4 linked regions of the Alligator mississippiensis genome follow. The protein of the gene in region 3 interacts with the protein of the main gene of each other region in a biochemical or structural test. Links are inferred from orthologs where the notes say so. Each region holds a gene or a part of one and is shown on either strand. Other genes may lie near its edges. The genes, in order: LPL, APOE, LRP1 and DAB1.

Region 1 (7,092 bases), on a different chromosome or scaffold from region 3:
CCATGAGTCAGCAGACCTGAACTCTGAATTACTGTGGGAAACCTAAACCAACAACAATTCCCCAATTTGCCAATATTCTGTACACAGAGGTAGACTTACAAATCATTAGATACATGCAGCAATCCTGAGCTAGATCCTCAGCCCAGGTAAACTGGGAAAGCTCCACTGAAACCAACATGCATACATGAAGTCAAACATTTACCCAAACAACAGTAAAAGTTCTGTTGAAGTAGCTGACCCTGCAGCTGATAAGATACGGTATGACATCACACATCAGTCACCCTGAATTACCATCCAAGTTGCTTACGTTAACGCAGGCCCCATAATAAAACCACTTCTGTAATTCAGTTGACTGTAACTAAGGGGCTATATACCACAACTATTAAATTTTATCTAAATAAACAGTTTAAACAATTGAAACCATGCAGTAGTTACAACTCCATGTAACAGTTCACAAAAGCGGTTTAACTGGACAACGCAAGAGATTCTTCTCGTACTTGAAGTATCCCTTTCCTGAAATCCACAACTTACATCTTGCAACTGGCTAATTCATGGGCAATATACTATACTTGTACAGAGCTCTCAAAGCCCAGGAGGATGACACATAGGCATAAAAGTCTACCCACAAGCTAGCACTACATCTCAGTGCTTCCCTGTGGGATAAATGCTTAACTCAAATGCATTTGGCATGCTTGTAAAATGATATGCTGGGAGCATTTTCCCCATCCTTTTGGCTGTTCTGCCCGGAGGGTCCGGAGTTATCCAAGTTAATCAGCTACAGTGCAGAGTAAAACTTTAATGCAGGTTCTTCCCATCACACAATGTGGTTCATCTCCCCCTGTAGAGTCTATATGGTAGCAGCTCTGTTGATAGTACCCCATACGTCATATTTTTAAGCTCCACCAAAAGCTGCTGGCCTAATTTTGTTCTTAATTACAACAATGTAAAATCAGGTGCAATGCCACTGATTTATATGATGCTATTTAGGGTCTACAATAATAAAACTGAGATCAGATTTTAACTCTGCACGATTCCTTCCCTTGAACTTCTTTTATGCATTATGAAGGGTTCTGGATTCAGCGGTTTCATGTTTACTTGGGGATCAAATCCTGCATTCTCAGGCCTCTGAAAACATTTATTCACTTCATCCCCAGTAGTTTAGTGCAGGTAAGAACTAGCATCTGAGGCCTGCAGTGTAGAATGGACAGAGGATGGTCTCGTATCCCCTAGTACCTCTTCTTAGAGAAGAGCCAATGCATTAATTGGGAAGCCTCCAAAGGAAAGACATGCCAACAGGAATGAAAAATACCCACAAACTTCCTCCAAGAGGAAAGCTAACTACTTCCTTTAACACTGCTCTGATATTGATTAAAAGGCACTCTACAAGTACCTTTACTAGAAAAAGATTAGATTCAAAGTGACACTACCTTCCTTCGAGTGTGCCTTACCACCACTCCTTCCTCTTAAGTTTTAATATTGCCCTGCAGCTCTGTTGTTATTTACAGTGCCTCTAATAGGATCATCCTATTAGAAGAAGAGAAAGTTTCACTTAGCGGTTAGGATACAAGTGTCCAAACTATTCTCAACGGGCCTGGACTTTCTGAAGTGTACGAACACAGTCATTTCTTTTACAACATTTGCAGGGTGTAAGTCTGAGACTTGGGCTTAGTGTACATGATCAAGTTTTACAGGTGAGGTTGTCAGCTAGTGAGAAAAAGAAAAATCACACCCTGTTAGCTTATGTAAATGCACCTGCAAAGCCTCTTGGGTGCAGACACCCTTTGATGAAAGGAGTAGCTTTTTGTCAGCTTAGCTCCTGTCCACATAACAGTTCTGCCCAGTGTGAAAACATCAGGCCTCACAGCCAGCACAGCCCAGCTTGCAAAACCCTGAGTGGATGAAGCCGTCAGCAGGGAGAGCTAGGGTAGCTCTGGCAGTAATGAACCCCCTTCTGCTGGAAAGCTGTGTTCACACCAGAGGCCCCAGCTATTCAAGTAGCAGCAGCCTGCACAGCATAAACATAGTCCTAGCTTATATACCATTTGGGAGCGTGGTGTCACTGTGCCAGCAGAGTCTTGTCAACAGATGCTGTGTCTACACCACGGGCCTCTTTTAACATTGTGTTGCCAGCAGAGGCTCTATCGTGCAGCCAACACTGCTCCGTTACTAGATCTTTGATGGGCACTGGGCTGCGACTACTCAGCTTGCTAAAGACTTTTTAAAGTTTGTGGATTAGTAAAGTGAGAATTAGTGATAGCTATTCTGTACACGCAGCTGTCTCTCTAGTCTACATTTCATCGGCTTTAGAGAGGAGAAGCGCAGCTGGAAAAAAGTCGAGTGTACATCCAAAGGAAAAAAAAGCAGTTGCAACCTGCCCTAACAGCATACTTGTGTCGCAGCGACCGCCTTCACGCAGCCGAATACATCCGGAACCCAAGGACTGGGAAGCCAGAGGCCGAACCTGCACGTTGCAGTGCCCGGGCCAGGCCCGTTTTAACTGCTCCGGTGGCATCAGGCCGCAACACCGCAACTGGCGACTCCTGCGTCCGGACCCGCGCTCGCCTTTCCCAAGGGCGCCTCGCCGCGTGGGCCCCCTGCGAGGTGCTGAACACCTGCACCCCGCTGCCACGTGCGAGGTGGCGCCGGGGCCACGCGGAGGCCGGCACGCTCCTCTACACAGCGCTGCGCGCGGCGGGAGACACCCGCGTGTGCCCGGCCCAGCCTGCTCCCGAGGGAGCGACAGCCGGGCTGCCCCCGGGCCCGGACGAGCCGCGGAGAGGACTCCCGCCCGCTCTGCTCCACCTGGTGCCTGTGGTGCGCACGTGCAGCCCCGAACACCGGCCGGGCCCCCGCAGCTCAGCTCAGCCCCTGCTACCAGCTTCCCCGCCCCGCGCCCGCTCCCCTTACCCGGGCCGGCAGCGAGGGCGCGGAGACAGAGGCACAGCACGACCAGCAGCGCGCCCCACGCCATAGCAGCGCCCGCGGCGGCACTAGTCCGCGTTGCCCCGGCGGCCCCTTAAGTGAGGGCAGATATGCAAATATGCCTCCGCACCTATTGGCTGGGGCGGGGGCGGGGCGGGGCGGGGCGGGGGCCACCACGTGCAGGCGGGGCCGCGCCGGCTGCGGGACCTGCCCCCGGCCCGGCCCCTCAGCGGCGGGAGTAGGGGGCGGCCCGGGCACGGCCGGGACCAGCTTTGAGCACCTTCATTTCTGTAACTCCCAGATGCGCAGTTGTCATTCCGGTTAAAACTGGATCGCAGTTTCTTTTCACTGCGCAGCTAGCTGAATGAACGTGCTAAAAGTTGGTCGGGCCCTGACCCCGTTCCGGGCGACGTCTGTTTTTCTCTTGAGGACAGACAGGCGCCCGGCTCCGTATCAACAGAGGACTGAGTAGCAGAAAACCCACTGGCGGCACGTGCACCCCCTGAGTGTGGCAGTGCACCCCCTGCAAAAAGGCGCCTCCAACTCAGCTGGCGATGCTTGAAGCTGGTTGCTGCTCGCCACCCCACTCCCTGTCCTCACTGCCAACACCGCCAGCAGCGTCTGCAGGTGGTCCCCAATCGCCGCTGGGGGCCACCAGCACTGCCAGCGGCATCTGTGAGTGGTCGCCAACCATCGGTCGGAGCTCACCACCACCCCACCCTCCCACCGTCGACAGTGCCACTGCCGCCTACAGGAGCTCGTCGCTTGCTGCCACCGCCTGCGGGAGCTCACCATGCCCCCCCCAGCCTCTGGGGGCATGCAGCGTTCATGAAAAAAACAGAACATCCTTGCAGCTCGCCTTACAGGTACGAGCACACTGAGATGTGGGTCATCTGTAAAGCTGCCCACCTTCTGGGACAGTCTGGTGGCCCGGATGCTGCTCGTTCAGCACAAGGAGTGCCATGCAGCTCTTAGTGACCCTGGCATGTATTGTCCCCCATGCAGGTCCCATCTTATTCAGCCCCCAGGATGGACAAGGCTTGTCCAGTGCCTAATTTGCTCTTGGTCATTCGGTAGGTCTCCCCGGCCATCCATGCTGCAGGAAATTCAATTCACACCCCGTTTCCTCATGGTCTCTCCTCATCCTGACAGCTTGGCCAGTAGACAGAAGGACTGGCCATCCCAACAGCCCTAAGCCAACAGGTAGTGTCTTCATTTTACAGTGGAGGATGTAAGGCACAGAGAGATTCAGGTGAAAGAAAAGGTATCATAATTTTCAGGGCTGGTTTTTAGAAGTCTAGGGCTTGATTTTTCAGAGCACTTCGTGTGAAGTAGCACTTTGTGTGTGTAAGGCACCGGTTCACACTGGTTTCAGGTGCACATATGAGAGCTCCACACAACTGCAAATCAGACTAGGGTCTCAAGCCAAGCACCCCAAAAATGAGGGACAGGCAATTAGCAACTACCTGTGAAACCTTCGGTTGCACTGACTTCCCTAGCATCATGGGCACAGGCAGGCAGAACCCAAGGCAGAGTTCTGCTCTTAGCCATGAAACCAACTTCTCTCTCTCTTTCTCTCTCTGTGGTCCCCTACCTCATTCAGTATATACCTTCCCACTTCTGTCAGAAATGAGGGCAGACAACAGCCTCCTTCACTGCACAGCCCTGGGCTATCCAGACCACTGCCCATCCTTTTCACTGAATGAATCAGGGATCTTGCAGCGAAAAACACCACTGGGTCACATAACTAAAAACAGTGTCATGCCTGTGCACTATAATTTGTCTGATTTGTTTATTGAGGTTTTTACAAAAAAAAGTGGGGGGAAAGCCCAGAAATTATATTGTGCAGCACCATCTAGATGCCCACATGCCATGGGCAGGGTTGGGACATGTAGATGGACTGCCCAGACCTATGCCACGGGAGTTACTGGAGCACCTGATAGCATTCTTTCAGTGGACCAGCCACTAGAGGGGGGTGAGAAACATGCTTTACCAGTGGGTTTCACAGATCTTTTCCTAAGTGTAGAGACCTGAGAACCTATTCCAGGTTTTGGAAGGAAGCGGGTTCATGGCAGGCACAGCTCCTTTTGTTCCTTTTCATCAAGCCTGGCTGATCTTCCCATGTCTCCACCAGCTCTCCCCAGCTGGATCAGTCCCCCTTCTCATTAGCCCCTAGGAACAGTTTGTCATTTAAGGTTGTCTGTCTCAATCTACACTCCTGTTCCAGCTCTTGTCCCACCTATATTGCCGTCAAGCTATTCTCTTCTCCTATACGTAGCTCCCCCTGCTCTACGTCTCTTTGTTGCCCCTCCTCTGTACTTTAGGGAAGGTATTCTCTATATCAGAGGTCAGCAACATTTTTGGGCAGAGTGCCGAAAACACCCACAACTTCAACTTGTAAGATGTTGGTGTGCCAGGGATGGATGACAGGAGAGCTATGAGGGGCCCAATCCTTGCTGTTACCATGTAGCCCCGGCCCCTTCTATGCCATCCACCCTGAGGCACGTGTGCCAAGCAAAATGCCTTCGAGTGCCACACTCTGGCACCCGTGCTGGGGGTTGCCTACCCCGGCTCTATATCCTGCATGCTTCCTTGGTACGGTAGGGGTTGACTGAAAGAGCACAAGAGAGACAAGCTCTCTGCCCTCAACACTATACAGTCCTGCTCAGCTGCAGCACCATTGGGCTGGAACATGTTCAGTGCAGATGGGATCTTCTGAGAATTTAGCCTCCAGACTCCTAATCAAGATTTTGAAAAGGCTTGTATAACTTAGTCAAATGTGAGAAGCCTTTCTTCAACAGCAAGATGCACATCTCGGTACCAGGGTTGCCAGCGTACCAAATTTCAAGCTTCTGCTGCAAAACAGATTATCAGAGTTTCTCAACGAAAGAGGCACAAGCCTTTTTAAACATGTATTAAGCAACATATTTTCCTCTAGTCGCAATCTGTTAATCATTTTACATGAAATGTGCTTCCACTGCCCATCAAAAAAATCACACTGAGTTCATTAAGAGACAGACATCTTACCTGGAAATGTCAGCTCAACTAGTTAATGCTTGCTAACAGGTACAAACAATTTAAAGCAGATGGTTGTAATGGAGATTGTCAAACAACCTTAACTCTAGATAACGCTGCTCCCATCCAGAGTTGCATCCTTATGAACTTCTTGTGCTAAAAAGTAACATTTGGAAGGCATTAATTTTAGTTGCCTTTTAATGACTGAGAAGGAAAATGTAGTAACAAATAATGGGCCACTTCTTTTTGGATCATTATCAAGTGCTTTGCTGACCAGAAGCAATTCACTGAGTAGAGCCAGTGCTTAACATCTTCGCTTTGTGTGCTGTGCCGTATAGAGGAAAATCAAGTTTGTTACACAGAAATTGCTCTTTTGAGTCCATTTCTCCCCCTCAGTTATATTCATACTGTCTTTTAGGAGTATGCCATACAATGCTATACAAAATCCCCTTTTGTGTTTGCAATTTAAGGGGGGAAGATATTGTCTGGAACAAATGAACTACTAGTATTAATTGTTTTCAACCAAATTATAAGGAAATCTGCAGTAAGTGGGACCTAAAGAAGAAAAATATTTATCCTAACTCTATATGGCTTGTAGTTGGACTGTTCTGGCACTATATATTTCCCAGTATTTCAAAGATTTCCTTTCAGCTGCATATAATTGTCATCAGACTGCAAGGAATCTTCATGCATTGACCTATATACGCTCATTCCAACCATTAGCTGGATTTGAATTTTGGAAACTCTGTAAAGTAAACAACTTTATGAGAGAAAACATAACTAAATCTATAAAACAAAGACTGATTTATAGTCTCAGGAAATTCAGAAGTGGGTTGAAGGTAATAAAGTAAAAGCTAGAATGTGTTCTATCTAACGAGTTTAAAAAAAGTCCAGAGGGACTGGAGACAGGAGTTGCAAAATGAGGCTGGTAACTATACCAAAAAGCCATGGAAAAGGATAACACAAAATAAATTAATAGATATGCCAAAATTCCCAAATGGCTGCATTTTGCCCTTACTTCAAGGGAACTGCTGTAGAAATACCCCTAAATGACATTGCTACACCCACTGGGAAACCCAGATCCAAAAATACTACTTGTATGACAGTGTTCCTAACAGAGCTGGAGACTTGAAGTGGGAAGTTTAAAAAAATGAG
Region 2 (8,013 bases), about 24 Mb from region 3:
CTGCAGCAGGCCAGGCTGGGCTCATGGGTGTTGGGGGGAAGCGGGGGAGAGGTAAGGGCTGGGGGAAAGGCAGTGATGGGGGTGCAGGGGAGAGGTCAGGGATTCGGGGAAGGCAGTGATGGGGCTGCAGGGGAGAGGTCAGGGTGGGCGTGTGCAGAGGAGAGGTCATTGCTGGGGGGAAGGCATTGATAGGGGTGCAGGGGAGAGGTCAGGGATCGGGGGGAAGGCAGTGATGGAGGTGCAGGGGAGAGGTCGGGGCTTGGGGGAAGGCAGTGATGGGGATGCAGGGGAGAGGTCAGGGATTGGGGGGAAGGCAATGATGGGAGTGCAGGGGAGAGTTTGGGGCTGGGGGGAAGGCAGTAATGGGAGTGCAGGGGAGAGGTTGGGGCTGGGTGGAAGGCAGTGATGGGGTGCAGGGGAGAGGTCGGGGCTGGGGTGAAGGCAGTGATGGGGTGCAGGGGAGAGGTCGGGGCTGGGGTGAAGGCAGTGATGGGGGTGCAGGGGAGAGGTCAGGGATTGGGGGGAAGGCAGAGATGGGGGTGCAGTGGAGAGGTCGGGGGTGGGGGGAAGGCAGTGATGGGGGTGCAGTGGAGAGGTTGGGGCTGGGGGGAAGGCAGTCATGGGGGTGCAGGGGAGAGGTCAGGGATTGGGGAAGGCAGTGATCGGGCTGCAGGGCAGAGGTTGGGGCTGGGGGGAAGGCAGTGATGGGGGTGTAGGGGAGTGGTCAGTGCTGGGGGGAAGGCAGTGATGGGGGTGCAGGGGAGAGTTTGGGGCTGGTGGGAAGGCAGTAATGGGGGTGCAGGGGAGAGGTCGGGGCTGGGGGGAAGGCAGTGATGGGGGTGCAGGGGAGAGGTTAGGAATTGGGGGGAAGGCAGTGATGGGGGTGCAGGGGAGAGGTCGGGGCTGGGGGGAAGGCAGTGATGGGGGTGCAGGGGAGAGGTCAGGGCTGGGGGGAAGGCAGTGATGGGGGTGCAGTGGAGAGGTCAGGGATTGGGGGGAAGGCAGAGATGGGGGTGCAGTGGAGAGGTCGGGGGTGGGGGGAAGGCAGTGCTGGGCGTGCAGGGGAGAGGTCGGTGCTGGGTGGAAGGCAGTGATGGGGGTGCAGGGGAGAGGTCGGGGCTGGGGGGAAGGCAGTAATGGGGGTGCAGGGGAGAGGTTGGGGCTGGGGGGAAGGCAGTGATGGGGGTGCAGTGGAGAGGTCAGGGATTGGGGGGAAGGCAGTGATGGGGGTGCAGGGGAGAGGTCGGGCGTGGGGGGAAGGCAGTGATGGGGGTGCAGTGGAGAGGTTGGGGCTGGGGGGAAGGCAGTGCTGGGCGTGCAGGGGAGAGGTCGGTGCTGGGGGGAAGGCAGTAATGGGGGTGCAGGGGAGAGGTCGGGGCTGGGGGGAAGGCAGTGATGGGGTGCAGGGGAGAGGTCGGGGTTGGGGGGAAGGCATTTATGGGGGTGCAGGGGAGAGGTCGGGGCTGGGGGGAAGGCAGTGATGGGGGTGCAGGGGAGAGGTCGGGGCTGGGGGGAAGGCAGTGATGGGGGTGCAGGGGAGAGGTCAGGGCTGGGGGGAAGGCAGTGATGGGGGTGCAGGGGAGTGGTCAGTGCTGGGGGGAAGGCAGTGATGGGGGTGCAGGGGAGTGGTCAGTGCTGGGGGGAAGGCAGTGATGGGGGTGCAGGGGAGAGTTTGGGGCTGGTGGAAAGGCAGTAATGGGGGTGCAGGGGAGAGGTCGGGGCTGGGGGGAAGGCAGTGATGGGGGTGCAGGGGAGAGGTCAGGGATTGGGGGGAAGGCAGTGATGTGGGTGCAGGGGAGAGGTCAGGGATTGGGGGAAGGCAATGATGGAGGTGCAGGGGAGTGGTCAGTGCTGGGGGGAAGGCAGTGATGGGGGTGTAGGGGAGTGGTCAGTGCTGGGGGGAAGGCAGTGATGGGGGTGCAGGGGAGAGGTCGGGCCTGGGTGGAAGGCAGTGATGGGGGTGCAGGGGAGAGGTTAGGAATTGGGGGGAAGGCAGTGATGGGGGTGCAGGGGAGAGGTCGGGGCTGGGGGGAAGGCAGTGATGTGGGTGCAGGGGAGAGGTCAGGGATTGGGGGAAGGCAATGATGGGGGTGCAGGGGAGAGTTTGGGGCTGGGGGGAAGGCAGTAATGGGGGTGCAGGGGAGAGGTCGGGGCTGTGGGGAAGGCAGTGATAGGGGTGCAGGGGAGAGGTCGGGGCTGGGGGGAAGGCAGTGATGGGGGTGCAGGGGAGAGGTCAGGGCTGGGGTGAAGGCAGTGATGGGGGTGCAGGGGAGTGGTCAGGGCTGGGGGAAGGCAGTGATGGGGGTGCAGGGGAGAGGTCAGGGATTGGGGGGAAGGCAGTGATCGGGCTGCAGGGGAGAGGTCGGGGCTGGGTGGAAGGCAGTCATGGGGGTGCAGGGGAGAGGTCAGGGATTGGGGGAAGGCAGTGATCAGGCTGCAGGGCAGAGGTTGGGGCTGGGGGGAAGGCAGTGATGGGGGTGCAGGGGAGAGGTCGGGGCTGGGGGGAAGGCAGTGATGGGGGTGCAGGGGAGAGGTCGGGGCTGGGGGGAAGGCAGTGATGGGGGTGCAGTGGAGAGGTCGGGGGTGGGGGGAAGGCAGTGCTGGGCGTGCAGGGGAGAGGTCGGTGCTGGGTGGAAGGCAGTGATGGGGTGCAGGGGAGAGGTCAGTGATGGGGGTGCAGGGGAGAGGTCGGGGCTGGGGGGAAGGCAGTGATGGGGGTGCAGGGGAGAGGTCGGGGCTGGGGGGAAGGCAGTAATGGGGGTGCAGGGGAGAGGTTGGGGCTGGGGGGAAGGCTGTGATGGGGGTGCAGTGGAGAGGTCAGGGATTGGGGGGAAGGCAGTGATGTGGGTGCAGGGGAGAGGTCGGGCGTGGGGGGAAGGCAGTGATGGGGGTGCAGGGGAGAGGTCGGTGCTGGGGGGAAGGCAGTAATGGGGGTGCAGGGGAGAGTTTGGGGCTGGTGGGAAGGCAGTAATGGGGGTGCAGGGGAGAGGTCGGGGCTGGGGTTAAGGCAGTGATGGGGATGCAGGGGAGAGGTCAGGGATTGGGGGAAGGCAATGATGGGGGTGCAGGGGAGAGTTTGGGGCTGGGGGGAAGGCAGTAATGGGGGTGCAGGGGAGAGGTCGGGGCTGGGGGTAAGGCAGTGATAGGGGTGCAGGGGAGTGGTCGGGGCTGGGGTGAAGGCAGTGATGGGGGTGCAGGGGAGTGGTCAGGGCTGGGGTGAAGGCAGTGATGGGGGTGCAGGGGAGAGGTCAGGGTTGGGGTGAAGGCAGTGATGGGGTGCAGGGGAGAGGTCGGGGATGGGGGGAAGGCAGTGATGGGGGTGCAGGGGAGAGGTCAGGGCTGGGGTGAAGGCAGTGATGGGGGTGTAGGGGAGTGGTCAGTGCTGGGGGGAAGGCAGTGATGGGGGTGCAGGGGAGAGTTTGGGGCTGGTGGGAAGGCAGTAATGGGGGTGCAGGGGAGAGGTCGGGGCTGGGGGGAAGGCAGTGATGGGGGTGCAGGGGAGAGGTCAGGGATTGGGGGGAAGGCAGTGATGTGGGTGCATGGGAGAGGTCGGGGCTGGGGGGAAGGCAGTGATGGGGTGCAGGGGAGAGGTCGGGGCTGGGGGGAAGGCAGTGATAGGGGTGCAGGGGAGAGGTCGGGGCTGGGGTGAAGGCAGTGATGGGGGTGCAGGGGAGTGGTCAGGGCTGGGGGGAAGGCAGTGATGGGGGTGCAGGGGAGAGGTCAGGGATTGGGTGGAAGGCAGTGATGGGGGTGCAGGGGAGAGGTCACGGATTGGGGTGAAGGCAGTGATGGGGGTGCAGGGGAGAGGTCAGGGATTGGGGGAAGGCAATGATGGGGGTGCAGGGGAGAGGTTGGGGCTAGGGGGGAAGGCAGTGATGGGGGTGCAGGGGAGAGGTCAGGGATTGGGGGAAGGCAATGATGGGGGTGCAGGGGAGAGGTTGGGGCTGGGGGGAAGGCAGTAATGGGGGTGCAGGGGAGAGGTCAGGGATTGGGGGGAAGGCAGTGTTGTGGGTGCAGGGGAGAGGTCGGGGCTGGGTGGAAGGCAGTGATGGTGTAGGGGAGAGGTTGGGGCTGGGGGAAGGTAGCAATGGGGGTGCAGGGGAGAGGTCGGGGCTGGGGGGAAGGCAGTGATGGGGGTGAAGGGGAGAGGTCGGGGATTGGGGGGAAGGCAGTAATGGGTGTAAAGGAGAGAGGTCGGGGCTGGGTGGAAGGCAGTGATGGTGGTGCAGGGGAGAGGTCGGGGCTGGGGGAAAGGCAGTGATGGGGGTGCAGGGGAGAGGTCAGGGATTGGGGTAAGGCAGTGATGGGGATGCATGGGAGAGGTCAGGGCGGGGGTGTGCAGAGGAGAGGTCATTGCTTGGGGGAAGGCAGTGATGGGGGTGCATTGGAGAGGTCAGGGCGCGGGGTGTGCAGGGGAGAGGTCGGGGCTGGGGGTAAGGCAGTGATGGGGGTGCAGGGGGAGAGGTTGGGGCTGGGGGGGGAAGGCAGTGTTGGGGGTGCATGGGAGAGGTCAGGGCGCGGGTGTGCAGGGGGAGAGTTCGGGGCTGGGGGGGGAAGGCAGTGATGGGGGTGCAGGGGAGAGGTTGGGGCTGGGGAGGGAAGGCAGTGTTGGGGGTGCATGGGAGAGGTCAGGGCGCGGGTGTGCAGGGGAGAGTTCGGGGCTGGGGGGGAAGGCTGTGATGGGGGTGCAGGGGAGAGGTCAGGGATTGGGGGGAAGGCAGTGATGGGGGTGCAGGGGAGAGGGTCAGGGATTGGGGGGAAGGCAGTGATGGGGGTGCAGGGGAGAGGTCGGGGCTGGGGGGAAGGCAGTGATGGGTGTGCAGGGGAGAGGTCAGGGCGGGGGATGGGGATGCAGGGACAAGTCGGGTCATCTCCTGTGCGGGGCGAGAGGAGGAAGCTCGCGATTGCATCAGAGTCACAAGGAGCCCCCCCCACCCCCAGCACGCGGCCGTCCCCCTGCAGCCCCCGGGTCGGGCGGGGCGCGGGGGGCTCAGACTTTCCCTGCGAAGGGAAGTTGCCCCGGGCCGGCTCGGGGGGAGGGGGGTCACCTTTGCCCTGCAGCCGCCTCGGAGGTGGTGCCTCCCCCGGCGCCGCTCCGTACTTAATGCGCCGCCGGGACCTCTTGGCTCAGACTCGCAGGACTGCCCGTGGTCTCCGAGGAGCCTGCGAAGGAGGTGCGCCGCGCCGGGGCCGACCGGGGCAGGGCGTGTTGGAGCCGGGACACGGGGTGCTGGATGTGGGTGCGGGAGCCGAGGAGCGGGTGCTGGAGCCGGGTGCAGCCATGGAGGGAGTCCTGGAGCTGGGACACGGGGTGCTGGAGCCGCGTGCAGCCGGGGAGTGGGTGCTGGAGCCGGGACACGGGGTGCTGGAGCCGGGTGGAGCCGGGACACGGGGTGCTGGAGCCGGGTGGAGCCAGGACACGGGGTGCTGGAGCCAGGTGCAGCCGGGGGGGGTGGTGCTGGAGCTGGGACACGGGGTGCTGGAGCTGGGACACGGGGTGCTGGAGCCGGGACACGGGGTGCTGGAGCCGGGTGGAGCCAGGACACAGGGTGCTGGAGCCAGGTGCAGCTGGGGAGGGGGGTGCTGGGGCCGGGACACGGGGTGCTGGAGCCGGGTGCAGCCAGGGAGGGAGTGCTGGAGCTGGGACACGGGGTGCTGGAGCCGGGGTGGGGGTGCTGGAGCTGGGACATGGGGTGCTGGAGCCGGGGAGGAGGCACTGGAGATGGGACAGGGGTGCAGCAAGGGCCCTGCTCTGCCTCACCCCGCGCCCCGGCCTCTCCCCGCAGGTGGAGCCGCAGCCATGAGGGTCTGGACCGTGTTGCTCGGAGCCGTGCTGCTGCTGGCGGGTAAGAGCCCAGCCCGGCCCCCCCGCCTGTGTGAACGCTTCACGCGCCCGGTCCGGAGCGACTCCGCGGGGCAAAGTCGGAGCGAGGCGGGGGCCCGTAGTTGTAGGGGCACAGGGACTCTTCCCTTCTCGCATGCGGGGAAGGAAGCAGCAGCTCTGCACAAGGAGCCGAGAGCCCTGGGGTCCTGTCCCGGCACAAGGAGCCGGGACTCGGTCCCGCTGGAAACGACCTTCAGCCCTTGCCCTCATCAGCAAGGAATGGGGCGATCCGCCCGCTTCTCCCCCCAGGCTGTAAACCCTGGCGCCAGGCTGTGTGAGCCGCGCCCGCCCGGGGAGATGAGGAGATAAGGGTGCAGCATCGCCCTCCACCCCCTGCAGCCAAGGGGCAGCCTGGACCCTGGCCCATGATGCCCTGGCTCCGCGCAGCCCCATGCATCAGCCTCTCCTGTGTCTGTGCTGCCCTGGTGTGGGGGGCCAGGGCTCAGCCCGCTGCTCCGTGGGTCAGCCTGGGTGGGACAATGGGGAGCACCAGGTCCAGCCCATTGCAGCTGGGAGCCCTGATCCTGGTTGGGAGGGGTCTGCATCCAGTAGGACACGGGGAGCTGGGATCCTGTCTGGGGGTGGCACACTGGGGCCTTCACCCCATGATCTCCATGTGTGCATGTATCCCACACAGCCTGCCAGGCCGACGTCCAGGACGTGGAGACCAAGGTCAAGGCCAAGTGGGAAGAGACCGTGGAAGTGTTTCGGGAGTACGTGAACCGGCTGAGCCTAGCTACCGATGACATCACGGAGCAGATCACCAGCTCCCAGATGGGCAAGGAAATGGAGTGAGTGCCACCCACCCTGTTGCTGTCTCAGGGGGCTCCTGGGAATGGGGGTAGGTGGGGGCAGCCCCCCGCTACCCCTGTGGGCTCAGTGCAGCGGGGCACAGACCAGCCTTCCCAGGCAAGACTGTGGAAAAGGGGTCCTTGGAGGGCTTTTACCCCCCCAGCTCTGCTCCCTGCTGGGGTCCTGAGGCCTGTGACACCCCCCCCCCCCCCCAGCCCTGCTCAGTGCTGAGGCCTGGCTGTTGGGGTGCTGGGGGCTGTGCCCTGGCCTTGCTGACCGCTGCCTCCCTACAGCATGCTGATCAAGGACGTGGTGGCGGAGCTGCACGCGTACAGAAAGGACGTGGAAGAACGGCTGGGCCCGCAAGCGGTGGTGATGCGGGAGCGGCTGCATACAGATGTGACGGTGCTGGGCGAGCGGCTGCGTGTTGACATGGAGGAAGCCAAGACCCGGGTGCAGCAGTACCTGGGTGAGGCTCGCCAAGTGGCGGGCCAGAACCTGGAAGATGTGCGCAGCCGCGTGGGCACCTACTTGCGCAAGCTGCGCAAGCGTCTGGCCAAGGACACAGAGGAGCTGCGCCGCAAGCTGGAGGCCTACAGTAAGGAAGCCACCCAACACCTGGAGACCGTGCGCGAGGACCTGGAGCCGCTGCGCGAGAAGGGGCAGCAGCGCCTGGAGACCCTGCAGCAGGCACTGCGTGACCAGGGCCAGCGCTTGCGTGAGCAGCTGGAGGTGCGCGCCCAGGAGATGCGTGGCTCCCTGGACCGCGCAGCCACGCAGCTGCAAGAGTGGCTCGAACCCTTCCTTGAGGACATCCGCACCCAGATGCAGGGGCTGCTGGACAAGCTGCAGGCTAAGGAGCAGCAGTAGGCGCTTCCCCAGCCCCGCAGGGCCTGCTGCCCCCACTGGCCTCTGCACTTGCTAGGGACCCCTCCCCAGCCCCGTGCCCCCCTCAGTCTCCACTGTCACGCTCTCAATAAAGGCCTGCTTCAGGCACTTGCGTCCTGCTCCTTCTCTGCTTCCCACTGGGTCCCATGGGGAACTGATGGGGTTGGGGCTCCCTAGTGGGGGGTGAATCAGGATCTGCCCCTGTGGTTACACGGGGCGGCGGGGCGGGAGGGGGTAGTGAATCCGGAGCAGACTCCAGCATTCACATGGGCTCCCAGGGGTGGTGGTGGTGGTGGGGGGTTAATCAGGATTGGTCCTAGTAGGCACATGGGGCTCGTGGGGGCAGTAGTGAATCCAGAGCAGACCTCAGCGTTCACTTAGGTTCTCCAGTGGGTGAATCAGGATCAGCCCCTGAATTCACATGGGTCTGTGGAAGAGAGTAGTGAATC
Region 3 (6,920 bases):
CCAGCGTGCAAGCGCAATGGGTAGGGCCGGGCACCGTTCAGGCATGCCTGCCCTGGCCCCCTGCCCATGCTCCCACGTCAGCCAGTTGGGGCCACACTGGGCAAGGACCCAGGAGGCCAGGTGCCCTCCCACAGCTTGGAAGAACCTCGGGCACCCGCCCAGAGCTGGGGAGGACCCGAGCCCAGGGCCGCTGGAGCTGGGGAGAGCCCGGGTGTCCGGGTGCCCCCCCGAGAGAGCCCGGGTGCCCGCCTGGAGCTGGGGGAGAAACCAGGCGTTTGGGAGGACCTCCCGCCCCCAGAGATGGGGGACAAATCAGGAGTCCGGGCGCCCCCCCTGCCCCGAGCTGGAGGACAACCCATGAGTCCTGGTGCCCCCCCCAGCTAACAGGCCCCTGGTGCCAGCTGTGCCCGTGCCCGGCCCAGCCGGGTCCTGGTGGGGGGACACTGCCCTTGGGGTTTGGGGCTGGGCACAAGGGGGGATTCCCCCCCCAGCCCAGCACCCCCCATGGCCCCCCCCCGGGGACCCGCCCACCGGGCCCAGGCCAGGGGGGAAACTGAGGCAGGAGCGCGGCGGCAGCGGGGGCGCAGCCGGGCCGGGGCACCGGGCACCCGAGCTGCGCAGGGGACCCAGGCGTCCCGCCCCCCCAAGCCCCCCCCCGGTACCTGCGCTGCTCCCGGCCGCGGCCGCGGGACCGAGCGAGAAAGCGAAAGTCGAGAGTCAGGAAGAGGGAGGAGGCTGCGGGGCGGGGTGGGGGGGGGCACGGCCAGGCCCGCCCCGCCCCGGGCACGGCTCGCACCCCACCCCGCCCCGCCCCGCCCCCGCGGGCCCCTCACTCTCGCCCCGCACCCCTCTGCCCCCCGCCCCGCAGCCCCCTCGGACACCTGGGTTCCACCCCCGCCCCGCCCCGCGGGATCACCCGTGCCTCAGTTTCCCCAGCCCCCCCGGCTCTCCCGCAGGCGCCTCGGGGCAGGCAGCTCAGCCCCGGGGGCTTCCAGACCCCAGTTGGGGTCCCTGCCCGACCCCCGCCTAGCGACGGCGCTTTGCTACCCCCTGGTGGCGGCGGCGGGAACTGCAGCCCTGGCCGCTTAATCCGGAGCGACTCCGCTTCCCGCCGCGTCTGAACGCAGCGCCCGGGGGAGGAGGCAGGACCCCTCCCCCGGCTCTCGGGGATAGACTAGCCGAGATCAGGGGCCTCAGGAGCGGGCCCCCAGGATCGCTCAGGATTGGGCCACTCAGGATCGGACCCCCAGGACCAGTCAGGATCGGACCCCCCCAGGCCTGTCCTGTGGCTCCGGCCGTGGCGGGGGGGGGCCGACCCTCCGTGTGGACGTGGCAGCCCCGATCCGGAGGGGGTTCCCCGGGGATAACGACCCCCTACCGCTGCCACGTGGAGCTGGGGGGGGGGGGGGTCAGCCTCCCCACTCCCTCATCCCTGCGACGCCGCCCGCTGCCACCAGGGGGTACCCGTGCACCGCCGGCCCCCCGCGCCCGGGGCACGTGTGTGTTGCACGAGTGGCGGGGCGCACAAGGGGAGGGATGTCTATTTACGAGGGGCAAAGGTGTTGCACCGGGCTGGGGGTGGGGTCCTGTGGCACCAGGGGCTGTCTATCGTACCAGGAGGGATATGGGCCTGTGGCAGGCAGTGTCTGTTGCACACCCGCTGTGTGCTTGGTGCATGGGGGGGGGGTGCCTGTTGCACAAGGGAGTGTGTGCCTGTCGCATGAGGGAGTGCCTGTTACACAAGGTGGTGTTGGTTGCCCAACGGAGTGTGTACCTATCACACAAGGGGGGTGCCTGTTGCAGGGGGGCTGTTGCACAAAGAGGGGGTATGCCTGTCACACGAAGTGGGTGTCTGACTTTGCGGGTGTCTGACTTTGTGGGGGCCCCACGACCAAGTCCCTCCACTCTCGCGGTCTCCACTCCCCCTGGGACCCTCAGGCTTGAGCTTTTGGGGTGTTGGGGGGCGGTCCGGGGGGACTTGTGCAGTCCCTGGCACAGCAGGACACCCCCTAGTCACATGGTCTCTGAGTGAGGGGCAGGGGCTGAGACCCCCTCTGAGAACTGGGGGGTGGGCACCCTTCACCAGGAACGCCCCGTGGGCCCAGTGCAGGGGGGGGCCTGATCCTGTGCCGCCTCCTCCCGCCAGGGGGGGACACAACAGTCGCTCCTTTTGCTCCCAGGCTCCCCTCTCCACTCTGTTCTCCAGGTTGGGACTGCCCCAGTTCCCAGAGTCAAGGGAACTGGGAACCAGTCCCAGCTGGAAGCTGGGCTCAGCTGGGGCTCGGGGGTGGGGAATGTGGGGGGGTGACAAGCATGTGACCTGCTGGGGGGGGCAGAGAGGACCCAGCTGTGATTCCAGCCCTGACATCCCCCTGCTGCCGCGCCCTCACAATCCCACATTCCCTGGCCTGGAGGTCGGAGCTGTGATTTTCCACCCCAGCCCCAGACTGAACTGCGAGTTGGGACACCTGGGTCCAACGCTCCCCTCTGCCCTTGCCCTGTGGCATCCCTGTGCCTCAGTTTCCCCAGCCCTGCCCCTCTGCCTCCCAGGCCTTGGGGCAGGGAGCGCAGGCCTGGGGGCTTCCAGACTCTCTTCCCACCCCCACCCCCTGCCCTGTCTCCTGCCCTGAGCATGGGGGAGTGTCGCATGAGGACGGTTGTGGTCCTGTTGCACAAGAAGGTACGCACACCTGTTGCACAAGGGCTGTGTGTGCCTGTTGCATGGGGTGTCTGTCACACAAGGAGGGATGTGGGCTTGTTGAACAAGATGTGCACACCTGTTGAACAAGGGCTGTGTGTGCCTGTTGCACAAGGGAGTGTCTGTCGCACAAGGAGGGATATGGGCCAGCCGCAGGAGGGGGGTGTACTGTCGCACGAGGAGTTGTCTGTTGCACAAGGGCTGTGCGCTTCTTGCTCCCTGGGGTGCTGCCTGCCTGCCTGGGCCTGGCTTTGCCAGGAGCCTGGAGGTTTGCAAAACGCCCTGTCACGGGGCTGTGGCTCCCATCCAGGACCGTGGCCCCTCCTGCCCAGCCAGCCGCAGCAGGGGGGCTGCCCTGCCCCAGAGCCCCCCAGGGCTGATGCATCCAGCCCCCAGCTGCATGGTGGGTCCCATGCTCTGCTGGGAGGGTGAGCCCTTGCCACCTGGCCTGACATGCAGCTGCCGCTGGGGAAGGAAGGCTGGGTCCTGGGGAACTGGGGGGTGGGGGGAAGGTGCCGTCATTAATCTCCAGGAGAAACAGAGCAGCCCTAAGGGCTGCTGGGCCCCTCCGTGCAGGGGGGATCCTCTGCCTGTCCCCAGACTCCTGGGTTCCCTGTACTGCTGCAGCCCCCTCCCGTCCTGGCCAGACCTGGGTGCAAGTGCCCCCCCCCCAGAGGTTGGCTGGGTTTTACTGGGGGGTGTGGGGTGGTCCATCCTGGCTGCAAAGTGCAAGCACTATCACACTGTATGGGGTCAGGTAGCTCCCCTTGCACTATCACACTGGGGAGGTTAGGCAGACCCTCCCCTTGCGCTATCATGCTGGCAGGGTGGTTGGACAGCCCACTCCTTTAAACTATCACCCTGGGGGGGTCAGGCATGCCCCCTTCACTATCGCTCTGAGGGGGGGTCAGGCACCCCCTCTTGCACTATCACACGGGGGGGTTGGGCAGCCCCCCCTTACACTATCACACTGGGGGGGGTGTCAGGCGCTCCCTCTTTGCACTATCACACTGGGGAGGGGTCAGGCCGCCCCCTTGCACCATCCCAGTGGGCCGGGCCCAACCCCCCAGTCGCAGAGCTCCCCTGGCCCCTTCGCACACCCCATCCCCTCCCTCGCCGCGCATGCGTGGTCCGCCCGCCCCCCCAGCCCATGACGTCAGGCAAAGGCGGTGCGAGCCCCCCCGCCCCGCGCGGAGCCGCCCCCCCGCTCGCCTCGCGCCGCCCCCCGCTCGCAGTGCACCGGGCGTCCGCGCGGAGCGGGTGGGGGGGTCCGGCCCGTGCATGAGCCCGCAGTGAGGAGCAGCCCCCGGCCCGGCCATGCCCGCCCGCGGCCCCGCGCTGCTGCTGCTGGGGCTGGCGGCCGGCCTGTGCCTGGCGCTGGACGGTGAGTGCCCCGCGCGGGGCTGCGGCTTTGTCGTGTCTGCGACCCCCGGGGCCGGGGGCGTTTGCAAGGCCCCCCCCCCCGGGGAGCGACCCTCCGTGGGGCCGGCTGATGTGAGCCCCCCCAGGCTGGGGGGCTTGGGCACGGGGGTGTTGGCAATGCCCCCCCTTGGGAGGGACCCCCCGTGGGGCGTGAAGCGGGAACATTGCACCCCCCAGGCTGGGGGGGCTTCAGGACGGGGGTGTCTGCAAGGTCCCCCCACCCCAGGAGGGACCCTCCGTGGGGCAGGGATGTTGGACCCGCCCAGGCTGGGGGGCTTGGGGGTAGGGGTGTGGGCAAGGCCTCCCCCGAAGCAGGAGTGTTGGACCCTACGTGGGTGCCCCATCTTCGCACCCCTGGGTGCCCAGGGATAGCGGGGGGCCAGGGAGACAGAGGCCCTGGGCTTGAGGGGGCTTTGCCATGACAGGCACTCCAGTGGAGCAGGAGGAGCTGGATTTATCCCCCCCACCCCAACTCCGGCTGGTGGGGGCCAGGGGTGGCAGGTGATGGGGCCCCCCAGGCCTTTGGGAAGGAATCTGCCCCCCCCCCATCAAATCCCCCCTCCCGGCGCTGCATTGCGCCGCTGTGCGTGACATGGCATCTCCCCGCGGCTGAGAGGGGGAACGGCCAGGCGGGTCCTGGGGGCCCCGGCCCTACAGCAGGGGGATGTCCCTTCGGTCGCGGGGGCTGCATTGAGCCCCCCCTGCACCCCCTGGTCTGGCTGCAGGGGCAGGGGGAGAAGGGAGCATGGCTAAGCCCCATGGGCTGCAGCTTGGGTCCTCCTTTCCAGGCGTCCGCTGCCCCCCTGCATCACGTCAGGGCTGGGGCGACACCAGCCTGCCCAGCTGGGCCCCAGCATGGGGGTGGGTAGGAGACAGGACATCACCTCTGCTTTCAGGCGATGAATTTTGGGCATCTTTCAGCCTCCCCCCCTCCCCCCCAACTTGTTCCCTGCGGGGCCGCAATCGGGGCTGTACACATCTCCGCTGGGTGGCACGGGGGAGGCTCCGTCGCTTTGCGCTCTCTTGAGACCGGGAGCAATCACGGAGCAATCAGGGAGCAATGTGGCACCATGGGCTGGGGTGGGGGGCAGTGAGGGTCATCCGGGGTCATGCAGGGAGTGGGGGGCGTGGGGGGTGAGACCCAGAGCCCAGCAGAGGCTGCTTCTTGCCAGGGTAGAGTGGGACCAGCGGTCGGCTTCCCGGGCAGCATGGGAACATGGGCTGCAGGCTCGGAGGGTGCCACAGATGGGGGCTCAGCTGCAGCCGGGCCCAAAGCTTCGTCTCGAGCAGGCGGGGGCCACTCTCCGGATGCCCACAGGGTGTCCAAGGCCTTCTCCTGGCTTTGCAGCATTGGGGAAACTGAGGCACAGGGCTGAAAGGTGCTTTGGTGTGACCCTGGGTTCCCTGGCTGGCACTGCCTCTGCTGGGTGCGATCGGGGCCAGGGACCAGACAGGAGGGGGGGCACGGTTATGGGTGGGGGGTGAGGACCGTCCAGCAGGGACAGGATTGGGACTTTGCTGCCGCCCCCCCCCCCCCCCCCTTCGGTGCTGTGATGGATGCAAGCCAGGGCAGGGGGAGCTGGGGGAGGGCACTGTCCTTGGCCGGTCCAAAGCCTAGCAAGCTTAATGAGTAATGGGGCTGGCAGCCCCTCAGCATGGGGCATATTGGGCAGCCCCCAGCCGACAGGGGCAGGGCTGACCCTGTGGGGAAACTGAGGCATGGAGCAGGCTCTGCAGACGGACCAAGAAGTCCTGCCCCACCCCCTCAGCCCTGCTCCAGGGACCTTCCTCCCTTATCAGTTGTTTGATTAGCAGGGTCTGGGGTGAGCTCCTGGGGTGGGGGTCTGCATGCAGAGGAGGCAGGAGGCAAAGTCCAGGGGCAGGAGGGGGCAGCTGCCCCCTCCCTGTGGCACAAAGGACACGGGCAGCCAGCCTCCCCCCCACACGGTGCCAGGGGGCTGGTGCAGGGGCTAGTGACGTGTCCCTGGGCATGGGTGGGGGCAAATCAGGCCCTTGTGGTCCCCAAACCTGGGAGCTGAGGGGGGCCAAGATGAGGGGGCTACGTCTGCCTGGCTCTGCCCCTATTGCTGCACCCTGGGTCAGTGACCTGGTCCTTTCTTCATCTTCCCTTTGCTCTGGTTTCACTTCTCCTTCTGGCCTCCCGGCCCCCAGCCTGGCTCTTTCTCCTGCCCCCAGGAAGCCACAGGATTTTGCCCCCAACTCGGCTCGTGCTCTTGGCATTTCAGGAAGGATCTTGGGACCTTCCTCGGTTTCCCCAGGCAGCTGGAGCCTCTTTTTTAGGATGGCTAACAAAGCCAGGACCATGCCTGTGTGGGGCACCCAGCATCCCAGCCCCCCCCTCGCCCCTGCACCCTGAGACCGTGGGATGGTGGGGGGTCCCTTTCTGGTTGTCTGGGGCCGCGGTGTTCCCGATCTCACCATGTCCATCGAAGGGGTCAACCTCTCCCAGCCTGGCAGAGGTTTGGGGGGGCAGAAGCCCCCCCTACACCCCTCGCAGGCCCCTGGGAGGTAGATCCATGCCCCCCAGAAGCAGCCAGGGCCTGTGCCTGGTGAGCCACGAGCAAGGTGCGGGCGTGCGGAGCCCAATTTAGCGCCTGGCAGTGACTCACGTCCTTGGCAGGGAGATTTGGGGGGGGGGTTGTACAGATCTTTGCTCCTGGGGAGGCTTTAGGGCCTGGTCCCTGTTTCTGTCCCCTCCCCGGGGGGCCTCATCCTGGTGGGCCCGTGGCGGGGGGGCATGTTTGACCCACGCGACTTCTTGCCTATCACAGTGCCCCGG
Region 4 (7,910 bases), on a different chromosome or scaffold from region 3:
TCTTCAGATCCAGGGTCTGCATTTCATAACTTGAATCCAGAATTAAGATATTGGGGTATAAGACCAGATGTTATTGATTAATCCTTAATTATTGATTAATATTTGACTAAACATTGCTAAGCAGTGAGAGCATCATTTATAACCAGTATTTTATGGAGGAAAAGCTCTCAAAATTTGCTGCTGATCTTGAATCAGACAAGATTTATATCAACAAATAGGGAAACACTCACTTTCCCCTTAAAGATTTCATGTTATTTGTATCAGCAAAAAAAAAAAAAAATATTTTTATCAGATTTCAAGAGATTTTTTTTTTATTAGTCTTACGGAAAAAAATGGATTTCACATCTGTCTGTAGTAGATATATGTATTTATCATCTAGTTAGAAGTGATCAAAGTGTTTTCTGTTTAACTTGGTAAGTGCAAAGGTTTGAAAGAGGCCTGAGTTATGGTGAAATGATATAATCTTTTTAACATCAGTAAACAGCAGTTGTTAAAATGATCATTTCTTTTCAATATTTCACCCACGAGTTGAGAAATTCAATCTCATCCTTGTTGTTACCAGTATTAGCTCAGGGGAATAGAAAGTCACATCTGGAGGCAGAAAATCCATGGCATTGACCCGGAGAGGTCAAATTGTGATACTGGATGGGGTGGGGGTTGGGGAATGAGGTTAAAGGCCATCTTTGAATCCTGATAGATTAAATGAACCTCATAGAGGGTCCCCTTAAATGTAATGAGGGACTTCTAACTCTGCAAACTACAGAGTCTCTTTAAGCATTCAGCTGGAGCTTTCTCGTTCTTCTAGGCTAGAAGACATAGGCTTCTCTGATTAGCATGCAAATGCAACAGTGGTGTAAAAAGTTCCAGATGAATTTACGACTAAGCCTTGCTGCAGGGGAAAACATGTTTGACAACATGTGTTAGAAATGGAGAAATGAATGAAATTGGGTATCAGTCTGAAACCAGCAGGATCAGAAGGTGTAAGAGAGGTGTGCAGATACAGGATGAGGCAAAGAGACTCCTGGAAACAAAATCAGCATGTGAGGAGGAGAACTGCAAATGTAAAGTGCCAAAGTATTTTTTCCCCCCTTCTTTTTTCCTTTAAAGAAATTGAAGTTTGTGGTATAATAAATTCAACTCACTGCTTAGCACTAAAGAGGCCGATGAGTAAGAATACCAGAGTTTTTATGGTATTTCCTGAGATATTTCTTTAAACTAAACATTGCCACAGTATATTTCCTGGAAGTAATATTTACTTTACATTTTTTTGTTCTAATCTCTTGAGTAGCTCAGGATGTGAGGTATGTGTACAGTGGGCTTTGCGTATATCAATAAAAACTCATAATGTTTCTCCAAGACTGGTATTTTTTCCATTCCTGGTAGGGAAACCAAGACAGAAATATTTAGGTGATGATTTTCAAAAATCACTTTTGTTTTTAAGTGCCTTCAGTTTTCACGTGTCCAACCTGCGGTGACTTTACTTTCGTTTGGTCTGCAAAAGGAGTTGGTGCTGGTTGGCACCCTTGGAAGTTGAGGCCAAGATGGATGAGGTTAGATACCCAGAAATTTGAAAGGCTACTTTTTTAAGCTTAAGCCTAAGTGATTTGAACTCGGTCATCTGCAGGCAGTCTGCTATCCTATCAGTAAGCCTCTCCTGAAACAGGTATCCTCTAGCCCAGTGTGGCAGAGCACAGGGTGTCTCTGCCACTTTAAGGGCCTGGAGCTGGCAGCCTCCAGGTGCCTGATTAGGGCAGACATTTTGAGGCTTAGGCTGCTTATATAAACCAGGCAGTTTGGCTGCAGGAGGGCAGGTAGCAACATTGCCTGGTTGTAGGGCTGCTGTGAATGACCTGGAGGTAAGGGGGGAGCTGCAAGGGGTTGGCAGGAGGCTCCTGGTCCTGGTCCTGGTCCTGGTCCTGGTCCTGGTCCTGGTCCTGGTCCTGGTCCTGGTCCTGGTCCTGGGCATGACCTGAAACTGCACCCTGCCAGGAGTGGATGGCCTGGTGGTGCTCTCAGTGGCGCGGGAGCCTCCAGGAAATACCAGGCCAGTTACCACCCCGGTGAAAGGCGGGTTGGGGTGCCTTAACCCCTAGCTCCCACCACCACCGGGTGGGTAACCCTGATAGTGTTTGTGAGGGGCCCAGAAAGGGTGGACCCTGAGAGTGCATTGTGTACAGGGCGTGGTGCTGCGGTTGCTCCTAGGAGGAAGGGAGTAGTGGCACGGTGAGGCCCGAGGATGAGAGAGAGGGGCTAGAGACCCAGCCCGAAGGGGATAGTACCCTCGACTGGCCCATGCTGGGGCCAGGACCAGTGAGGGTCAAAAGGGCCGGGGGCCCACCGTGAGGGACGCCCAAGAGCCGGGGGCCTGGGGTCCCGACTGGCCTTGAGGTGGGCCAGGGCTGGTAGCCAAAGGTTCTGGGGGAACCACACCCGAGAGGGGAAGATAGCTTCGGGGGGGCTAGGTAGCCTGGATGATGGTGGAGTGGCTGCCTGATTGGAAGGATCATAGAGGGGTCCTGTTAGGACGATTCTGGGGCCCAGTATGGGGCCGGTGATGAGGAACACCGTGATGCCATCTGCGAGGCTTGGGCTGCAGTATTGGGGGAGGTCGGAGCCGCAGAGCGCCCCCCGGCATCGGGGCGTTACGATAGGTAGCCTCCCGCTTAATTGACATCGATATATGAATCAATTATTATCAAAGGCGTGGCAGGCGAGATAAGCGGGCGGTTGCCCAGAGACAGGTGGGCAGGCCACGAAGAGCTCAGCCCTGAGTAGGCCTGCTGTCACGGTGACAGGTGGGTGGGCCACAAAGTTTGGCCCCAGGTGGCGCAGCCTGTCACACCCAGGTCCTAAAGACCACCCATGTGCAACTGCAGGGGAGACCATGGTTCACGAATAACTTAAGAACTCTACTGAAAATCTCAGAGACAACTGGATCCAGTATCTGGTTTATAGTTTAATGCCACTTTTGGAAGGAAAAGGTCTACAAACTTAATTTAAATTATATCCTTGATGCTTCAGCGTTGCCTCCCAAACTCTACCTCTTAATATACAAGTCACAAAGCCCCACTCCAGTTATAAATTCTGCAAGGCAGCCACCAGGGGGCAACCCGTTCATACACACATGAGCAGGAACAGCATTCTTGCATGGGCCACGGGACACGCATGCTTCAACCTTGCATTATGTTCATGAGCTACTTGCGATAAAAATTCAGCCTACTGTCAGCCATGTCAAGTAACTACTAGATGGGTTTCATCAAACAGCAACTTGGATTACTTAGACAAGTCCTGAGATGCAGAGGATTAAGGCCCACATGTGTTCAAACGTATGTGCCTAACCATGTCTAATCTATTAAATTCTCAGGGCTTGACCTTCAGGCATCCTGGATGTCCTTATTTCCAGTGCTTTCTACATGTGAAATAAAGCTACTCTTATTCCATTTCCTAATTAAGGAACTGGGGGCCTAGACTGAAGCACATTTATTTGAGAATGTGTAGGTTTAGGTTTAATGCTTAAATGGAGCTCCACTATAAGTTTCTTGAGACAGGGACTTCCTTTTTCTGAGTGTCTGCCTAACATATCTCGGCGAATGCTTGTCAAAGCCCATTACTGAAAGCTCCCCTTAGCTTGAGAAGAAAAGGGAAGGGATCCCATCTCTCCAATCTGACCATTCCCTGGTTGGACATGACATCTTCCTGTTGAGTCCTCTCCGCCTCCTCTGAGCTGCTTATCAAGTTCCATTTGGTTGAGTTCATTATTTAAATCAAGGTACCGCGGCATTAACATTTCCATGATGGAATAATTGTTCTAGGCAAATGCCATGGCCTTGTAAGTTATACAAAGACTACTCTCCCTCACTTTTTCACCTCCCTATGTCCACAGCCAGCATTTCATAGACCTTCTGATCTCTGCATCTGTAAACACGCTGCATCAGTCAAGCTGAATGACTTTTGATTCACAAGTTCACTGTTCTGGATGCAGTACATAGATCACATCCTTGTGCTGAATGGACTCAGTTTTTGTCTTAGATGATCCCACTTATCCCATAGATGAACTTTTTTCCTTGCCATAAAATATAAATTATTGATGGCCCCAAGGACCCTGTCACAATGATAGTACATGACCTTTGAATTCAGTTAAGTGGCTAGATGAGTAAATACAATTATTTGAGGTGTAATTAATTAGGGGAGAATTTTTTGTTCCATTAAAAACAGATGGTGTCTTTTAAAATCAGATTCAAAGTGAGCACTTGTTTTGAGCAACGCAGGTCAGCCAGAGAAGGTCCGCTTGCTTTTCAATGAGACAAATTGGAGATACACCTAAGAACACATGGAGACTAGGTGAAAGACAAGGTAAGAGCGAAGCAGAGGCATCAGCTGTCTCCAAGGCAGTCGCCCTGTGGAAAGCAGTAGATCAACACAGCAGGTAGTGAGCAGCCTGTTTCAGAGCTTGGAAGTGACTGGTGTGTAGGCAGGCATGAAAAAAAAAATCTCCGGCATTACTTTTGTTGTCAGTCTGCCTGTCAAACTGCCTTTTGGATAGGGACAGCAGGTTGGTAAATAAACCAGCGTTCACTTCTGCATGTGTGAACACTTCTTTGGGAGTTTTATTCTTAATGCAAGCACTGAGCTTTAAGTACACAGAGTTATGGAGTATATGCAGAAGTGTAGCTGGCTGCCTCTGGGCAAAAAATAAAAGAAATAGTTAATGATTTACACAGCTAGCATGCCGTCTCCCTCCCATATTGACTAAAAGCATTGCTAGCTAACCATGACACAGCTATTTTGTTCACTTAATTTTCTAATTAGCACAAGCCCACCCATTAGCACATATTGGGTTCCTTTCACTGCTCAAACCTAGCTCCCCCCAGCTTGGGGAGGGGCAGTTGGAATTCAGCAGCTGGGTTGCTTGAAACAAGGTGGAGTGTAACAGGTGGTGTCAGAGAGCTAGTTAAATGCTGAGTGTGCTTTTTCTCTTCACTCTCAAGTTGAGAGAGAAAGCAACCAAAATGAGTACAAAATCTTTTTACTTTTACTAGTCATTAGAGGTACTGAAAGTCTATCCTTAGTGTTCCTTCTGACCAGGATGAGGTGAGTTAAGGCAGCAACAAAGTAAGAAATGTTCATGTCTATATAGTTTGTGATGGGAATGCGTTTGAGTTAATGGAGGAAAGAGGTTTTGCTAACATTGCATGGTCAGATGCTTAGCTGGTTTGCGTGGCATTGCTTTTAAACTGCGAGAGTGCTGAGAATCACTTCCTCATTAGGTTGTGCACAACTACAGAATTACAGTGTCCGAGGGAAGGTTAGGGCAAAACCCACAGGTTTTAGTATTATTGCATTACTTTGTCTATATAGCAGATATTTTCTCTGATATGTTATGAAACTGTTGGCAGAGCATTAATGTTTCCAAATACTAGCTTGGCTTAAGTGGAGAATAAGCTATTATTATTTTAGGTTCTTGGAGCTCCTGTGCTTTTAATTTGGTAGACAGCAAATGCATCCTTGCAAATGTTTTGCCTCTCAAGCTGAGCTGCAAAGCAAAGGAAAATTGCCACTCCTTTTTTGCATTTCTTGTTTATGATGGATAAGTGGCAACTTGGAGGCTTTATTTAAAAAAAATGGGTTTATTTTTTTTTTCTGCTTGTGTTGGAACCATACAAATAAGTTTCTCTAGTCTTTTGCTGGATGGCTGTATTAGCAGGGTTATGATACTCTGAAGTCCGAGTAGGGAAGAGGTGAGGGACACACTTTAGTCTGCTGTTCAGAAGTTGCTCTTACTTAACCTGTTTATCTACCTCTGAATTACTATGGCATCCTTTACTATAGTTCCTGAATACATCATTACCTCCCTTTTTCCTGTGAGGAGTTTCAGTTAGGAGGGTATTATAGAGCTATATTTCAGAAGTGCCCGAGCATTTTGATCTCCAGGTGTAGATGTTTAACACCTCAAAATAGCCGGCCCTATGCAGTTTGTTCAAGGTCGCACAGTAAGGTTGTGGCTTAGTCACCACTTTAAGCCTGCTGTGTCACCTGAGTCCCAGTCCAGCACCTTCAAACACCACTTCCCCGGGGAAGTCATTGGCATATAAAATTTTCTTTTGAAAAGACTTAGCTTCTTGCTAGGATGTTTTTACTCCAGTTCTGTAGCGGATCCACCAGTAAAGTCAGGAAAAAAAAGATGCCTGCACAGTTTGAGTATAAAACCACGGATGAAGCACCTGTTCTCTCCTACGTCTGGAAAAATGCTAAGAGCCTGTCTCCCTGCGATGTTTCTCTCTTGCATAGGATACTGAGTGAAATATTTTCCCCCACTTCTGCATTTCAGCCACGGCAGCTGTTCTGCCAGCGGATTTTGCCGCTATTGTTTTAAGAGATGCGAACACCATTTAAAAAAAAAACAAACCCACCAGGTTAAAATGGACCATAAATATATTTTAGAGTTTGTATGCAGAGAATGGGCTACCCACTGTACATGGGCTCAGCTGGGAGCCTTTGTCACAGGTACTGGTTTTATATGTGGTTACTCAGCATGGTATGGAATTTGAATTCTTCTCTTAACACAGCAGTGGACAATCTCTCTCGCTCTCATTTTTACTTCAGGCTGTTTTTCACAGGCGGAATGGCACTGCTGGAAACTAATCAACGTAATGTTTTACACTTCACAGAGGTCTATTAGTAATCATTGCTACAATTTCTAGCACCAAATAGGGACAATGTATTCCTAAACCCCATCCTACCTTGGATTGCATTTTTTAGCCATAGGAAAACATAATTATCTCGGCTTCTCTGTGCAATGTCCATTTTGTTGTTTGTTTGTTCTTTCCCGGATGCTGTTGCTGGCAGTCAGATGTGAAAATGCCGTGATGAGTATTAAAAAGTACCAGTGGCAGTAGTAAAATGCAAGTTGCTAACTCCAATATGGCTCCTGTTATCTTAGCATCTGAGCTCTGCAGAGTCTTTTCACAGTACCCTGGCATGGCAAGAAAGTACAAATATCCTGGGTTTTTTTGTTGTTTTTTTTTATGCAAGGCACCGAGACATTTTAGGCTTTGTTTTCACCGCTACAAATAATTTTTACTCCAGAATAACTGATGCGTGCTAACTAGTTTGCTGTAAAATCCTAGTGGAGAAAAGGCACTGTAATTGCACTGTGAGGTCAGTCATGGCAGGGGGTATAATATAGAGCTTGCCTAGCTACCTACTGGGAAAACTTGTTTCTATAGAAATTTGTAGGAGAATAACTATTGTGCATTAGCGGTCTTGCAGAAGCAGTGAAAATACAGCCTAAGTGATTTTCCGGACTTCCTATAGGAAGTGGAAGTAAGAATTTAAATCTAGTTGCCCTAAATCCAAAATTAGTGTCCTACTAATCATTGGCCTATCCTTTCCATGCTCTAAAGAATGGGTCTATTTTATAGTCCTTACACTTACTTGAGGCTTATGGTAAGCTACATCCCTGCTTGGACAAAATATCAAGGGTTAAGTGTGTGTTTGTGAGAGAGAGTAAGCACATTTGGGGTGGGAGATGAAATTCTGGTTGACCAGAAGAAGACAGCAGGTGATGCCCTCCATCCAGGGTCTGACAATGCTAAGATGTGCCGATTTCCCCCAGACTCGCCCCATAGCTTTCGCTTGGCTGCTTGTCCTGCACGTCATGGGTGCGTACAGACATTCAGAGAGATGAGCCAAGGCTGAAGTTGGTTCCTTTTTCAAAGCTAATCTTTAAACAATAAACGGTTATTAGCAATGAATTAGATGTGCTAAAGAGTTGCAAGTTCATCAAAAATATATTTAGTCATAAAAAAAAAATGTAAAATAATATCATGTATTAATGCATAGCCCTGAATGAGGAGCTGGGATTATGGGACAAAACCCTTTTTTCAAGTCATCCCAAACCACAGATCTCT

Evidence for each region.
Region 1: the proteins of LRP1 (region 3) and LPL form a complex in vitro, tested with the Homo sapiens proteins (3 studies listed by BioGRID). The link is inferred for Alligator mississippiensis from reciprocal best matches to the Homo sapiens genes LRP1 and LPL.
Region 2: the proteins of LRP1 (region 3) and APOE form a complex in vitro, tested with the Homo sapiens proteins (2 studies listed by IntAct, with this or other methods). The link is inferred for Alligator mississippiensis from reciprocal best matches to the Homo sapiens genes LRP1 and APOE.
Region 4: the proteins of LRP1 (region 3) and DAB1 form a complex in vitro, tested with the Homo sapiens proteins (2 studies listed by BioGRID). The link is inferred for Alligator mississippiensis from reciprocal best matches to the Homo sapiens genes LRP1 and DAB1.

What each region holds. Positions count from the first base shown.
Region 1 is NC_081826.1:157,509,721-157,516,812, forward strand, and holds the start of LPL (lipoprotein lipase), read right to left. Parts: upstream 3,017-7,092; 5' UTR 2,972-3,016; coding exon 2,908-2,971; intron 1-2,907. UniProt on the Homo sapiens protein: Key enzyme in triglyceride metabolism.
Region 2 is NC_081838.1:31,168,783-31,176,795, forward strand, and holds APOE (apolipoprotein E), read left to right. Parts: upstream 1-5,007; 5' UTR 5,008-5,104; coding exon 5,105-5,240; intron 5,241-5,786; coding exon 5,787-5,846; intron 5,847-6,521; coding exon 6,522-6,675; intron 6,676-6,969; coding exon 6,970-7,546; 3' UTR 7,547-7,672; downstream 7,673-8,013. UniProt on the Homo sapiens protein: APOE is an apolipoprotein, a protein associating with lipid particles, that mainly functions in lipoprotein-mediated lipid transport between organs via the plasma and interstitial fluids.
Region 3 is NC_081838.1:7,162,163-7,169,082, forward strand, and holds the start of LRP1 (prolow-density lipoprotein receptor-related protein 1), read left to right. Parts: upstream 1-3,915; 5' UTR 3,916-4,015; coding exon 4,016-4,082; intron 4,083-6,920. UniProt on the Homo sapiens protein: Endocytic receptor involved in endocytosis and in phagocytosis of apoptotic cells. Required for early embryonic development. Involved in cellular lipid homeostasis.
Region 4 is NC_081828.1:13,147,462-13,155,371, reverse strand, and holds the start of DAB1 (disabled homolog 1), read left to right. Parts: upstream 1-4,899; 5' UTR 4,900-5,091; intron 5,092-7,910. UniProt on the Homo sapiens protein: Signaling adapter of the reelin-mediated signaling pathway, which regulates the migration and differentiation of postmitotic neurons during brain development.